Linked DNA regions of Daphnia pulex. The protein of the gene in region 2 interacts with the protein of the main gene of each other region in a pairwise test. Links are inferred from orthologs where the notes say so. Each region holds a gene or a part of one and is shown on either strand. Other genes may lie near its edges.

Region 1 (4,837 bases), on a different chromosome or scaffold from region 2:
TCCTTTACCCTGGAGGAATTCCAGTAAACTACCATTTTTCATGAGTTCAGTGATAATGTAAATCGGCTCCTCGGCCGTGCAAACGGCGTAAAGTTGGATCAACTTGGAGTGTCGCAACTTTTTCATAATCTGCGCTTCGGCCAAGAAATCCTTGGGGTCCATTGTTCCTGAAATCAAGATTCATAGCGTGACAATCAAAATCTGTTCTCTGAATCGTTTCGGAATTTTGCGCAATTTCCGTTCGGAATTACCCGGCTTGAGCGTTTTTATGGCGACGGGTGTGGTGTTGTTCCAAAGTCCTTCCCAGACTTCGCCGAATTGTCCATGACCCAATTTGCGCACAAATTTGAGCGATGTCCGGTCGATCTCCCATTGGTCGCGAGTATTATACGACATTCCTGCCGTCACCGGTTTTTCAATCTATAATTGGCAGGATGAAGAAACATTTGCAATGAGAATGGGATTTACGACGAGCACATAACACATGTTTCTTACCTGGATACAAGGTTTGCGCAAGTTGACACATAGTCCATCAGCATCAGCACTATAGTGCTCCACGAGTTCTTGTAATGTTCGGAACGTTGTTCGGCGGGAAATGAAAAAGCCTCCTTCGTCCAGCTGTCTGATTCGGTAATGCTTGACGGTGTCGCCATCGCGAACTGCACAAGTGATTGATAATTACAGAAATAAGCCATCTAGTTATTTCGGCATCATTCCGATATTTAGGTAACAAATTGCCAGCATTAAAGTTACAAAATCAAAGTGACCGTGACAATACCAAAGAGGAAAAAAAAAGAAGGTGACCGCGAAAGAAAAATAATTGACAAAGACGCACGTACTGCCCACGGAAATTCAAGGGAAAACGTGTTCAATCAAGCGCTGTTAATTGTGTAACACGCCATCGGCCTCGTTCGTTTTTGAGAAAAAGGAATGGTAAACATGAATTGCGAAAGAACCAATCCCGAAATGGCATTCAAATCGATTACGGCCCAGAGTAAGGGAAAAAAATAACGACAACAAAAATATGAAAACGTACCCGATAATGAATAGTCATTCCGGCGACTCTCTGAATCACGAACGAGGAAGGCACCATGCTCGTTATCCGGAAGTAGCAGTTTTTTCTCAGCCTCGATGCGCTTAATTTTGCCGAAATACCACCTATAAAATAAAATAAATAAGTATTTTCTTAGATTAACAGATGTTAGGTGGCCAGTTGCTAAGGCAAGTGTTCACTTTTAGAAATAGAACGCAGACAAGTCAATCAGCCCAGAAGCGATTCCCTTCATTTCCTACTATAGCCTTGAAATCGACTTGTTTTATGGGATTGGATTAAGCCGAGGACTGGTTCCTACAAGATAGTATTCGAGTTTCCGATTTCAGATTGTGTAGATATTGTCAACATATGATCATCGTTGAGGGGAAAACTCAACGTGGATGTACTCGTGTCTCTATTTCCTCGCCCAAATGTGTTGCCCCAATGTCCTTGAGACGGCCTCAACCGGTGAATGGGAAAGGCCATTGTTACCTGTTTCTCCGAGCAGGTAAATAACCCCCCAGGCCATGCATCTTACACAGGAACATACAGGTGGTAATTTACATTCCTCTTTTTCCTGTTTTGTTTCTCTTTGTTGTTTTTGCTTTGACTATTTTCTTTTAAAACTTAGTCTCACTGGAATACATTTACAATTTTAAAAATAAATAGACGAAACTTACGGTTCAGCTTCAATAGACTTGAGCTTTGCCACATAATTGGAGGGGATGTAGCCTTCCTGTTTAGTTGCTTTGCTACGGGCCAACCACCAGTCACCCTGGGTGTCATTGATAATTTCAAGATGTTCTCCTTTCTTGAAGCTTAGGTCTTCATCAGTCCTGGCATCATAATCGTACAATGCCACAAAGACCTTTGCTGTTGAACTCAGAGAATCTTGGAGGTCTGGAGGAGCAGGAAGTGACGGCACAGGGATGATTCGACCTGCTGTAAATACAAAATTCCACGTTTAAAGAACAAGACAATATTTGGAACACAAATGGAGAAATTACGTGGAAATGGTTGATCAATGTGATTTTGGCTGGGTGTGAGGCTGGGAACAGGAGGTTGTGTCGGCAGAAATTGGCCCCCCACTCCACCACCAATGGGTGGCTCTTCAACCCTTGGTACTGAACGACGATCCGAACTGAAACAATTCCCCATTTTGTCGTTCAACTATCTGTCTACGACAATCAAGAATGTCAACTGTGCTTCTTTATCAGAAACACCACTCACTCACACACACACCCAGTACAAAAACGAAGCCGAAGCACCTACACCAAAACAAATACAATTGGTCGACACTGTTGTTGTTTCATTATGACGAAATCCGACAAGTTCCTTCTCAATCAATTCGGACACGAAATAATAAACCCGACTGCACGGAATGACTTCTTGACAGTCTTCTTGTGTTCGATAAAAGAAGAAAAAGAAATATCCATTCACCTATAGACCGGAGGCAACAAACTATGCGACTCTTAGCGGCTACGCTTAGCGGTAGGCCCCTCCCTTTTTTTTCAACGAGTTCTTTCGGAATTGATTCACAGGATGGCGCTACTTACTTGAAAACAATTTTAATTGGCTGTTTCAATTGTAGTAACGATAGAAAAAAACTCGATTCATTATTTTATCTGACATAGGACGGTAGGAGTTTAAATATCAGTTTTTCATTTCAAATATTCAAATGGGTCTAACAATGTTTTTAATCGCCAGGACTTGGGAGTCTCAAATCTCAATACTTTTAGGCCACGAGTCAAACAAAGAGTAAACGTAAACATGTAGTTGCATCAGCAGAGTCCTCTACCAATATATGCTATTTAGAGCGAAAACAAATTTAGAATCGAATTTTCGAGGATGATTCTTTCAAAATTAACATTCGATATTTCATTTAAGATGAATACAAAAAAAGAGGCAATTAAAAAAATAAAATTTAAAATATTTATAATTGATTAAAATTAAAAAACATGATCGTAAGAAGCTTTGCCTTGACGCATCGGACCTTCGAAAGTTTCATCAAACGACCGCGACTTTCAAATGAATGTTTAAGAGGCAAATTAGTTTTCTACCTTTGAATCTATTTCTGTTGATTCCACGAACAGATTATCACTACACCTTGCTTCCGTATTTCCAAATTTAAATTTAGGACACTACAGTACCGTGTTCAGCTTGCCTTTCCGGCTTTCCCCCTCTGCAGTCCGGGTGGTATTTCCGTTTATTTCATGAGAATTTTTCCTAAAATTAGGAATTTTCAAGCATTGATAATACAGGTTTTTTTCAATAATTAAAAAATGCAATTCACTTGACATTATCATTCTTCAACTGGGTCAACGGTTATCGTTATCTTCATTCGATCTTTCTACCTGATTGATTCTTCAGAAATGACAACGCATTTCGTTCGTCAGTTGTTTCCGCCATTTTGAAACAACTGCTTGCTGACAACAAACGACAAAGTGTCAAGCCAAGAAAAAGACAAAGTTTTCTTTCAGTTCAGTTTCAAATTTCTTTCAAGTTTACCTATTGTGAAGTTTACTGCACCAGAGAAATTTGCTGTTGATTTCAAAAACTTCGGTTTTCACGAAGAAGACGAATGCCTTATGTTATTGTATCTGGAAATTTGAACCCTAACAAAAACGGCGTAGCTGGACAACCGCCAATCCCTCCAGGATGGAGAGTAGGAATTTCTGGATTAAAAGGTATTTTCTTGATTCAATTAACATAATAAATTTAAACATTTTAATCAACAAATATTGTTTTGTTTAGCTTGTGATTTGGAAGATTTGAAACGGTTTACCTATGAACAGGGGAGTGATGTGCACACAGTTTCATTTCGTCATCACCCAGTTGTGCTTTTAAATGCATTAGAAGTGTTGGGATACAGAGTCATAAGCTCATTTCATGTGAATCCTGATAGTTGTGTGTGGACTATGCGTAAAGATTTTCCAGAACCTTGCCCTGAGCCATCTGATGAAGAAGAGTAAAGTTTTGACCAAATTATCTGTGTTAAATAGTCTTAACTTTAAATCAATCATTACAGGAGTGATTCTGCCCCAGAGATTGATTAAAGGATAAAACATGGAGCAATGCACCCATCACAACTGCCAGCACACTGCATCTGCGAGTCAAACATTAGAAGAAATGGATTTTGAAAGAGGACCGTGGTCTGCTGGTAATAATTGGTTTATATTCTTCTGTCCAATTAATGAAAACTAAAACCTCATTGTATTCTGTATCTTGTTCCCACAGCACTTGATGGGGATTTGAACCGTCTTAGTAAGCTTCTGCAAAAGATGAATGCTGATGCAGTTGACACATCAGGATACAGTTCTCTGCACTATGCTTCAAGAGCTGGGCACTTGGAAGTTGTAAAATACTTAGTAGCACATGGTGCTAATGTTAATCTTTCTACACGGAATAATCAGAGTTCACCTCTTCATCGCGCCTGCCAACAAGGACATTTATTAGTGGTAAAATTTCTGTTGCAGAATGGAGCAGATGCTGGATTACAGGATTCTGATGGGTGTACTCCACTTCATAGAGCAGCGTTAGCTAATCGTACAGATGTATGTCAACTATTGATATCTCACAATCCGCAGCTTGCCCATATTTCAGATTTACGTAGCCGTTTACCAAAAGACTGCTGTTCAAGTGCCACTTTAAAACAGCTGCTAACTGCTTAATTTTGTTCTCAAACGTAAATGATTGAAACCAATCAAGTGCCTTTCAACATTCCACTTTGTGCTTTATTTCTTAAGTCGTCGATTTTTCCCATGTTTTACTCGATAAACTTAATTTCTTTGTTTATTCTGCGTG
Region 2 (5,471 bases):
GCTCAGCCTGTGAGGAAAAAAAAAGATACAATACAGTTGTGATGAAAATCAATAAAGAAACCAACCTTGAGCTCTCTAATGAATCCCAATTGTTGACTAGAACTGGCCATGAGTTTGTTGACTGTCATTTGAGTCAGTGCTCTAAACTGTTGTTGGCGGGCACCGTAGCACACTGATCTTGCTCTATTGGATAGAATATGGTAGGCATTCCAGGTGTCGGAATCCATGTCAGAAGTACATTCCCTTAAAGTCTAAAAAATATAAACTGGTTAGCTACAACTAGCTGAAGTGATACATTAATTAGAAAACTTGCCATTGAAGAGGAGCATGGGTAGACTCTCCGCCCTTCCAATCTTGATTGGCAGTTTAAAAGATTCACACCCAACTTAGACAAATCTTCCTCTGAGAGATCATTGCAGTCTTGCTTCAATTGAAGGATTAACTATAAACGAGTTCATTAATATTAATGAACAGTGAGATTGTACTTTGAATCAACATCAAAGTACTTTACTTACTTTATGCTGGCAAACATCCAGCTCGCTCAGACTAAGGTCAGTATATTTCTGTGCATCGGCAATGAATTTTTCATCAGCTACAGACAGCTCAAATGGAATATCAGACCTTGCTTGCACAGCACTCTCATCAGGTTCAGAAACTTCAATCTTATCATCTTCTTTTGCTACAGCCATAAGCTTATCAAATTGTTTTTCACTACTCAAAATGTTAAAAGGGGAGCTGTCTCTGCCTAAAATCCAACCTACTAAACTAGAATGACTACCAGTTCCTAGGAGAATTATGGCCACTAAATATAAAGTTATCTTCATTTTTGTAATAATCACAGTGCAATATAAGAGAAAATCATCTGACAATAATTGTATAAGATTGTAAGAGGGTTTGGTCGATAAAATTAGTCAAAAGGAACTGCACGTTGCTTTTCTAAATTCAAGTCCGGACTGGTCTGAATCTCTGGGTCGAGATTCCTTTTGAAAACCATTTGCATTTATTCAAATGAGGCAGATAACGTTGCCACATTGCTTTTTCCAAAAGAATTCGACGGAAATTTAAATATTTAAAATCTTAAAATATTCATCTATTATGTTGTATTATAAAAAATGTATATTCCTGTAATTGAAATAATATTTTAAATAATTTCAGTCATTTGGAAAAAAAATAGTTAGAAAAAATAAAAAACGTTTACAGGCACGCAAGCATTTACCTTTAAAATTCCATTGGGAGAAAAGGACTGGTGACGCTCGTGCGTCAAAGCCAAGAACTAAGTTGTTTCCCAAAATTATGGCTGTCTGGCTTTCGTCGGGCCCCGAAAACAGTGTATAGTTAATCAAACAATCGTGGATACGGATACGTCAGTTGATAGTCAATATTGTCAAACAATTTGTGGGAAATGCTATTCGTTTTTGAGTTTCGAGAAGTGTAATTCGACTTTGAACGAAGTCAAAACATTTTGGTGATTGGCCAACAACCGTTTCACTTGATAAACGTAGCCGTGGTGCACATCCGGCCTAGCCTTGAAAAGGAAATTCCTTCTCTGAAGCTTGTTTTGCCAAGAAATACTTTATCATCTGTGATTTCATAAAACGTGTTATTTTCGAGATGGAGGCCAATTCTAAACATGACTTTAATGCCACTGCTGAAGATGAGCTTAGTTTTCGAAAAGGGCAAGTTCTCAAGGTAAACCAAGCAATGATGCTTTCAACAGAATTTAAGGAATTTTTGCTTATAGCAATATTCTAACCTGTTCATTTGATTCAAATGTAGATTCTGAATATGGAAGATGATCTGAATTGGTATAGAGCAGAATTGGATGGAAAAGAAGGGTTGATTCCTAGTAACTACATTGAAATGAAAAATCATGAGTAAGCCTAGTTGAAATGTTTATGATAAAATAATGCATATTGATTATAACTTGTTGTTTTATTTTCTACAGTTGGTACTATGGAAGAATAACCAGAGCTGATGCAGAGAAACTCTTGGGCAACAAACATGAAGGCGCTTTTGTTGTTAGAGTCAGTGAGAGCTCACCGGGAGACTTTTCCCTGTCTGTTAAGTATGTTATCTAGTTCTTAAAATAACAATGTGATAGATTTTGTTTAGAAACATAGACAGTGTAAATCCTTAACCAAGAGCTCTAGATAGTTTAGAAATGCCCCATAGGAATTCTTCTACTATGTTTGATGTTATTATTTGCCTATTCTCAAATGTTGTTGAAATCTATTTGTGGCATACCAGACTACTTATCATTAGAACATCTGAATGAGATAAGTTGACATCTATTAACTAAGCTTGTAAGTCGTTAACTGCCTAAAACGGGAAGATTTCTCAAAATATTTATGTAGAAATAGCACATTATAAAAACATATTGAGAAATATCGCTTTGCATTCAGATATCCTGATTAGACGCTACACGTACATTTGAAGCGTGAAAAGAATTTCAAACATGCAGGCTTTCATCAGTGTAAAATCAAATATCTTATAATCTCGCTCTCCAAACTGTACGATACAAGTTCTACCTTACTAGGAAGACGCGTTTGAATAGAAAATTAATGAACCGAACGTACAGTTTATTTCTATTTCCCTCAAAGAATCATGGGTATTTGGTTTTCTGTAGAAATTTGATTTGATCACGCAAGAATTCTTTCCAAATGCAGTGCATGAGTCAACCTGATGACGCACACATCCGTTTACATTCCAATTTTATTCACTTCAAAGGTGGAATGAATCTCAATTGTCTATTTTGTTTTACCTTAAAAAAACAAAGACAGCTTGTAAAATTGGAACTCGTGCAGTGACTACCCTTTGCTTAAGTCGTGACTCGTGATTCATGAACCGTCAGTCCTACTGTTTTCAGTAATTAGTTTTATCCTTTTTGGTATTTTATTAGCCTTGTTAGGCGTGTCTAGGGTACATTCTGTTTTCTATCTGTTAGGCCTTTTCGTCAAGTTCCCTTACCACTGAGCCACCGTCCGTAATCAAGCAACTATATATGTGCCTTGAACCGGAGTTTTGCATCATTTTTAGTTTTTACAATTCTCTCATCGCCCTGCTGTGTTATTTATTCCTTCTTGAGGTTTTTGCCCGTTAAGTTGTAGGATGAGTGTGTTTTGTTTATAGCTAAGGAAGCCATCATCCTACTTCCTTGTAGTTCGAAATTAGTTTGAAATTTACACAATACTTTGTTACGTGCATTCTGTGTTAATAGGCTATTCTCTATTTTTTCTTTCTTGTCTCGCAGATGTGGCGATGGTGTCCAGCACTTCAAAGTACTTCGCGATGCCCAAGGGAAGTTCTTTTTGTGGGTGGTAAAATTCAACTCGCTCAACGAACTGGTCGACTACCATCGCTCCACATCTGTTTCTCGGTCTCAGGATATAAAGTTACGAGACATGGTGCCTGAAGAGGTGAGTTACCAGTTGTTCTTTTTTCCATGCCTTTAGGCTCAGGATTGACTAACAATTGTTGTGTGAATTTTCGACAGTTCTTGGTGCAGGCACTATACGATTTCACCCCGCAAGAACCAGGTGAATTGGAATTTAAGCGAGGCGACGTCATAACTGTGACAGACCGTTCTGATCAACATTGGTGGACTGGAGAAATTGGCGCCCGCCGCGGCCTCTTTCCTGCCACTTACGTTGCCCCGTATCATACTTAAAAGGCGAAGGCACTGTTCGTTCGTTTTCTTTTGCTCCTTTTCTTTTCTTCATAAATTTTTCTTCATTTTTTTTTTCTTTTTGTATTAAAGTGGTGCGTCCGTTCTTAAGACTCAAGTTATTTTTGCCGACTTCGAACCTAAACACATTACTAACTTTGATAACAAAACAGTAAAAGTGATGAACAGCTAGGATTGACAGGATTGCATCTCATTTCTCATTGAAAGCAGTTTGTAAAATTGCTTTCTTTTCAGTTTTTTTCCGTTTATGTTGTTCTAACCTCGATTTTCGACTGTATTTCCCCTCAAGCACACAGCTTTCGGGATTGCCATTAGATGTGGCTTTGGTCGAATAGTCATGTTGGAGCAATTTGTGTGGTTTTGATTGCGGAAAGATAAGTTAACTTATCCATAACGTCGACAACAATTACTGGGCTATTAAGTTTGCCCGTCATTTCTGTTGCTTCTTCTTATCTTATTGGCTCTTTTCCCTTTTTTGTCGACATTTTAAAGTGAATTTCGATTTTCTACCTATATCGATAACCTCTTCATAACTCTCACTCTTATGAACTAGCTTGAGACCATGCTATACTTGTACATCGAACAGTATCTTGATTGATGAAAATATAATGTGCAAACCAATGTTTTAGTCTTCTTCTCCGTCAGATTTAAAACTCTTACCTGTTGCGTTCATTGTTTCGTAATAGTAGAATGTGTAAGAGGAAAAAAATTTGTGTATTTAAAGATGCATCTAAACAAATACTATGTTTAATGAATTAATCTTCATCGATGAGAAATTTTCTTACGCTACGTAAGTATTCGGGCTCGAGACTGTTTGTAAGCTCTTCTCTGCCCAACCAATTATACTCTATGTCTGAACAAGTAGTGCAAGAAGAAAGCAATTGGGCTTTGAAGAAGAAAACTTTTGAACCGGTAAAACCAAGCTTTTGGCGAACTGACGACGGATATTTGATAGTATGTACTCCCCACGGAGCATTGCCCAATACTCGCACTGACGTATCAGGAGTTTTCACGTATTCTCTAAGTGCACGTTCTGCGGTCTCACGTAAGGTCTCCCCTTCCCTCCACCTACTTTCCGGAAGCTTCCAAACTTTCTTGTCTTTTTCTTGCACAACAAAAAGCAAATGCTTATCCAGCTTTCGATTGGTGGACTTCTGGTCTCCACTCAAATCTTCAGCTAGTTTACAGTAGGTCAATGAATTACTTGTTAGTCAACTTTATTATTTATATTATTACCTGTAGTCCTTGGGGCAGGCTTAAATTTTTGAAATTCTTCATTGCAAGCATCTTCAAAGTCTTGAGCTGTTTGCCTTGTTGCTGCATCTGGGTTACTTTCATCTTGAGTTCCATCTGCAGCCATTTTTTGTAGCTTCCTACAATTAAGAAATTATTCATATTAAAATTAAAATCTTTGATGGTATTTGAAATTATTACTTGTCTTCTTCATGTCTTAGTTCATGATTTGATTTGAGGCTTCTCATATTATCAAACTTCTCAATCATTTCACTAATTTGTTGTTCAATTTCGGTCATGGGAGGCACAATGATTGGTGTTCTTTCCAGACAAATTGCACCAAGAAGTTCCCATTTTTGGGGTGAAGAACTGGATGTAGAAGCACTCGACATTCTCAAGAAAACTACGAACATAAAATTTATTTTATCCATCAAAAAGCGTTAAAAAATGAATGATTTTAAGCTTTTTACCTTTTGGATTTTGATAGACTTTGTTAATTGAAAAACCATTCTTAACTAGTGATAGGCTACCTAAAGCATGAGATCGAAAGCAA
Region 3 (4,953 bases), on a different chromosome or scaffold from region 2:
CGGCATTAAACTGAAAAGATGCTTGTTGGGCAGTGGCTGACGCGATATCTCTACCATTCTTGGAGGATGAAGATCCCTTGGGCAAGGATTCAGTGTCGGTGCTGTTGTTTTCATCATCGTCATCATCTTCCGAGTCCCCAGAATCAGTTTCTTCGCTGTCCGACTTTCTAGCTGCCCATGCCCTGAAATCACATCATGGAATAAGTTAATCTCGATATTGTACGCCTAATTAATTTTCATAGAAATCAAGGATACGCAGCATTAATTCCAGGGACGAAAATTAAAATTAAAACCTTTGGTTATTCTGTGCTGGTGCAAGGGCGGCAGGAGTTTTTCTGGGGCGACCCCTTGGCCTCCCAGTTCCGGTTCCTTTACTCTTACTAGTGGATGAAGACGATCCCGCCTCGCTGAGAGATCGGAACATTAACGGCTGGTGTTGTTGAACAGTAGGTGTTGATGGGACGCTAGTCACGCCACCATCTTCGCCCTCTGCCTGGACATCAGGAATGGTAAGGACCAGATCTTTCAAAAAGTCAAATCGACTTTCAGCTAAAATGCATTGCTTCCTACAAGAAATACATGTTATTAGGTTACACTGAAAGTTGAAATCACCAGTCTTACAAATGAGCAGGACTGAGTGTTTTGGCATTCCTGGCTGAAGTTATCTGTACAGCTTTGGTAAGGAGTGACTCTACAAAAAGCTCCAATGCTCTAGGTGAATAAAATTCAGTTAAGGAAAAAACATTGGAATTTCACGGTAAAATAAAGAAAAATAGTAAATAAAAAATTTATTAAAAAGGATATAGATGATAACAGGAACTGGTGCAGCCACTTTCCCAACTTCTTCATCTGTTTGCATTATCTTCTTTATCCGGGCCTAACACCAAGAAAGAAAAAAAAAACAAATAATAATGTAAATAACTTGATCTCGTTATGATTATGTTGTTAGTTTTTTTTCATACTGACATGATATGTCAATGAAACATGAAAAATCAATAGCAAAGTCAATAATAAACAACAAAAACTGAACCATGTACGCTACATTGGAATAGATGAGCGGTTACGAGTATTATGAAGATCACAAACTAGAACTCACAGGCGGAAATCGGGCGTTGTATTTTTTCTTTTTGCTGGGCATTCTAATAAACAGTGGTAGATGACAAATGTAACCAAGGATGATTTAATTAACAGTGAAACGCAGAAGAAATTTTATAAAGAAAAAGCAGGCCACTAGAGTCTCATTTGCTTAAAGCAGCAGCTTTTTTTCTGTTTCTTCCACATCAGATTAAATGCCAAGATGTTAGTGGTTGCCTATGTGCCGAAATAACGCAACTGAAAACGAGGAATCTCGATGCGGAAAGCTAAAATATGGGAGTCGTCGACGGCGAACAATAGCCGGATTTTCAAACAGACTATAGCTAAATTACTAAGACCATTTTTTGTCACACATTGCTTTTGTTCATAGATTATAGATTTATAGTTTATAGAAATGAGTTAAGAAATATTTCTTTGTTTCCTAACTGTCTTGAGTCAAAGAATAAAAAGGAATTTCCCTGGTCCCTGGTATGAAAAAATTTCGGCATTGACTGTTCTGTCGCGGTAAATTAAATATTAGCTGTGCTGTGTTATTGATGGGTTTCCCCCGAATGAGTGAATGGAAACAGGCCAAACAGCATACATTGCTTTTTTTCCGTTAAAATCATCCAATTTTATACCGAGTTTTTTCAAAGAAGTGGCAATTCTACAAGACAAAATGAATTTACAAGACGTTGAGTTTACACGGACGAAATGCAATAGATCAAATACTCAGATAGCAATTTTTATCTAACGTCGTAGTTTCAGACTTGAAATGTTGTGGTTCATCCCGAAAAAAAAATCACATATTTTTAGCGGTAGATTTTTTTAATTGCCCATTTTTTATATTTTACAACGAATTCCGACGGGAAGCCTCGAGTGAAAACAAAATTTGTTAACGTTCTTTCCATAAAATGTTCTCATGATTTAGCCCTCGTTTTCCAATCTGTTATCCCGTGTTTTACCGAATTTTTTTTATGTTCTTTTGTTGTAGGTTGTAGACTGTGAAACTTTGGCTAGCTAGAGCTAGCTATTGGGTTTTGGAAATTGGTAAACGGAATTGGTTTGGGATTTGAGCACTAGGAGCTCTTCAGTTACTACACGACTACACGTACAGTGACAGTCGTAGATTGGACGGGAAGTTGTTAAATATTACGTGCATTTTATAATTTGGATGTGCCAAAAATGAATGCAACTGCCCGTTGAACTTTATCTAGTGTGACGATGCAACTCTTCTTACGACGATTGCCGTCAAGGCCGTGATCATGACTTCTACTCAAAATTAACTCCAATTACTATTGAAAGAAGTCAGTTTTCAACCTTTCCATTTTCTCGACATGTTTTCCTCTTCAAATGTCCCCGTGACTGAGGGACTCCTCTACGATTTTGACGATGAAGAGAACGCGCTCAAATGGAAAGGAGTTTTTGTTGCTTCTTTACACAAGGTAAACCAAGAAATGTTATTTGTTCTTCTTACCAGATAGTATTGATCAGTAATGGTTATTCAGGTACTGAGCCAGGTTCATCCGACTCTCAAGGCCAAAGATGATGCCCTGGAATATGTGGAAAGACTTATTTTAAAGTTACTGGGAATGTTGTGTGCCAGACCACCACCTCACACTGTGCAAGATGTTGAGGAACGTGTACAAAAAACTTTTCCCAATCCAATTGATCGTTGGGCCATCAGCGAGGCCCAAGCTGCCCTAGAAAAGGGAAAGAAAAAATCACCAATTGTTCTTCCTGTGGACAAAGTTCACAACTTATTGCAAAAGGTTGGTTTCATTGATTGTTTGTTGTTTTAGCTTCCATAATCAATTCTTTGTTTTAACTCTTAAATGTAAAGGAGGTTTTACAGTATAAAGTGGACCACCAAGTATCACTTTATGTGGTTGCTGTATTGGAATATATTTCTGCTGATATGCTCAAGGTAAATTATTTAAAGCAAAAAATTAGTTAACTTTATAGTCATTATTATTTTTTATTCGTTTTTTTCCTTAGCTTGCCGGAAATTACGTCAAAAACATTCGTCATGTTAAGGTGGCTTCACAAGATATCAAAGTTGCCATGTGTGCTGATAAGGTATGACGAAGGAATTCACTCTGCAAACTTTTCTTTAATCTTTCCTCTCTATCTCCCGAATATTTTAACCCCTCTGTCATGGTTTAACAAACATTCCGTTTTGCAGGTTTTGATGGATTTATTTCATCAAGACGATGATGATCAGCTCTCAATAGAAGATGAACCACTAACACCGAGCACCAGTGGAGTTCCCGGAAGCATGGGTGGTCCTGGCTTATCGGGAGGACCATCTCCAACTACAATCACCTACGACCAAGTGGTACGCGACTTAATCCAGGAGGAACGCCAGTACCTTCGAGACCTTCATCTGATTATGAAAGTGTTTCGTGAACAACTGGCTACACTTGCTCCACCACCAAGTCCAGCTGAATTGGATGCCATTTTCTCCAACATTGAAGAAATTTATGAACTGACAGTGACGCTCCTTGGTTCTTTAGAGGATACTCTAGAGATGGCCGAGGAGCCTCATCAGGCTGCAGCACCTCCTGTTGGCAGTTGCTTTGAAGAATTAGCAGAAGCAGCCGAATTCGATGTCTACGATCGTTATGCCAAGGACGTTCTTTCACCCACTTGTCGCGAAACGTTACAGGTTTGTATAATTTGGTTGAATGTTGAAACAAAGTTGAAATGGGTTTGCAATTTTGATTATTGTTTCTACAGGCGGTACTCTCTCGACCGGATGTGGGTCACTCGTTGCAAACGGGTGGTCACGGTTTCCGTGAAGCCGTTCGTTATTATCTGCCAAAGCTGCTTTTGACGCCTGTTTATCATTGTTTCACGTACTTTGACGTGGTACGCTTTCTTCATCGACTCAGTGTTAGCAAAGAGGATCGTGAAAGCTTAGAACAAGTGGAAGGGCTATTGAAACCACTACAAGTCGAGCTGGAACGATTACTTTCCTGCACGGGCGTCGGAGTTAATCTTCCGAAACGCAAGCCGAGCGAAACAGGCGGCATTGGATCTGCTGGACCTTTAATCCGCACAGGCTTACTAGGTGGCCCGCGCAGTAGCAGGCCTGCTGCCTTGTGTAAACTTCAGGAACTTCAACGTTCAATCGACGGCTGGGAATGTAAAGACGCCGGACCAGCTTGCAACGAATTTATCTGTGAAGGTCAAATCGGCAAAGTAGGAGCAGGAAAACGGTTGACAGAACGTTATGCCTTCCTCTTCGATGGTCTCCTTTTGCTGTGCAAAGCTTCCGGTCATGGCCGTCGGTCATCAGCCGCTTCTCCAGGGGGTGATTATCGCCTAAAAGAGAAATTCTTCATTCGAAAAGTCGAAATTTTGGATCGAGAAGACACAGATGAACTGCGTAATGCGTTCGAGGTTGCACCTCGACAACAGCCACATTGTGTCCTCTTTACTCGAACGGCCGAAGAAAAAGCCAATTGGATGGCAGCTCTTGTCATGCTCAACACTAAGTCTATGCTGGAGCGGACTTTGGATGTCATCTTGCTTGATGAAGAGAGGAAACATCCTTTGCGGTTGCCACCACCTTCCATCTATCGTTTTGCTGAAGAAGATTCAGAAACCAATTTGGTGCTTGAAACGAGAGAAAATGGAGGTGTACCACTGATCAAAGGTATTTTATTTTCATATGAAAATGTTTCAAATGTGTTATTCAAATGTTTTTCATTGGAATTTTTCAGGCGCAACTCTTTTGAAGCTCATTGAAAGATTGACGTACCACATGTACGCTGATCCGATGCTGGTCAGAACTTTCCTTACCACTTACCGAAGTTTTTGCAGTCCGACGGAATTATTGGAATTGCTAATTGAACGCTTTGAAATGCTCGAACC

What was found.
Region 1: the proteins of growth factor receptor-bound protein 2 (region 2) and tyrosine-protein kinase Src42A-like interact in a two-hybrid assay, tested with the Caenorhabditis elegans proteins (3 studies listed by BioGRID). The link is inferred for Daphnia pulex from reciprocal best matches to the Caenorhabditis elegans genes sem-5 and src-2.
Region 3: the proteins of growth factor receptor-bound protein 2 (region 2) and son of sevenless homolog 2-like interact in a two-hybrid assay, tested with the Caenorhabditis elegans proteins (3 studies listed by BioGRID). The link is inferred for Daphnia pulex from reciprocal best matches to the Caenorhabditis elegans genes sem-5 and sos-1.

The regions. Positions count from the first base shown.
Region 1 is NC_060027.1:2,733,815-2,738,651, reverse strand, and holds the start of tyrosine-protein kinase Src42A-like, read right to left. Parts: upstream 2,801-4,837; 5' UTR 2,192-2,800; coding exon 2,041-2,191; intron 1,976-2,040; coding exon 1,714-1,975; intron 1,159-1,713; coding exon 1,037-1,158; intron 660-1,036; coding exon 496-659; intron 421-495; coding exon 252-420; intron 168-251; coding exon 1-167. Other genes in the region: ankyrin repeat domain-containing protein 39-like, read left to right, coding at 4,100-4,193, 4,271-4,704. UniProt on the Caenorhabditis elegans protein: Non-receptor tyrosine-protein kinase which may play a role in larval and pharynx development. Unlike src-1, does not play a role in embryonic development.
Region 2 is NC_060028.1:9,113,769-9,119,239, reverse strand, and holds growth factor receptor-bound protein 2, read left to right. Parts: upstream 1-1,215; 5' UTR 1,216-1,611; coding exon 1,612-1,689; intron 1,690-1,776; coding exon 1,777-1,874; intron 1,875-1,945; coding exon 1,946-2,065; intron 2,066-3,250; coding exon 3,251-3,416; intron 3,417-3,493; coding exon 3,494-3,667; 3' UTR 3,668-4,306; downstream 4,307-5,471. Other genes in the region: protein brambleberry-like, read right to left, coding at 1-7, 66-251, 314-442, 516-824; 39S ribosomal protein L46, mitochondrial-like, read right to left, coding at 4,441-4,862, 4,922-5,058, 5,120-5,321, 5,389-5,471.
Region 3 is NC_060018.1:8,053,388-8,058,340, reverse strand, and holds the start of son of sevenless homolog 2-like, read left to right. Parts: upstream 1-2,153; 5' UTR 2,154-2,411; coding exon 2,412-2,519; intron 2,520-2,582; coding exon 2,583-2,846; intron 2,847-2,917; coding exon 2,918-3,001; intron 3,002-3,072; coding exon 3,073-3,153; intron 3,154-3,259; coding exon 3,260-3,742; intron 3,743-3,813; coding exon 3,814-4,735; intron 4,736-4,802; coding exon 4,803-4,953. Other genes in the region: uncharacterized protein LOC124205699, read right to left, coding at 1-182, 294-566, 622-715, 805-877, 1,097-1,138. UniProt on the Caenorhabditis elegans protein: Promotes the exchange of Ras-bound GDP by GTP. May regulate signaling pathways downstream of receptor tyrosine kinase, egl-15 and let-23.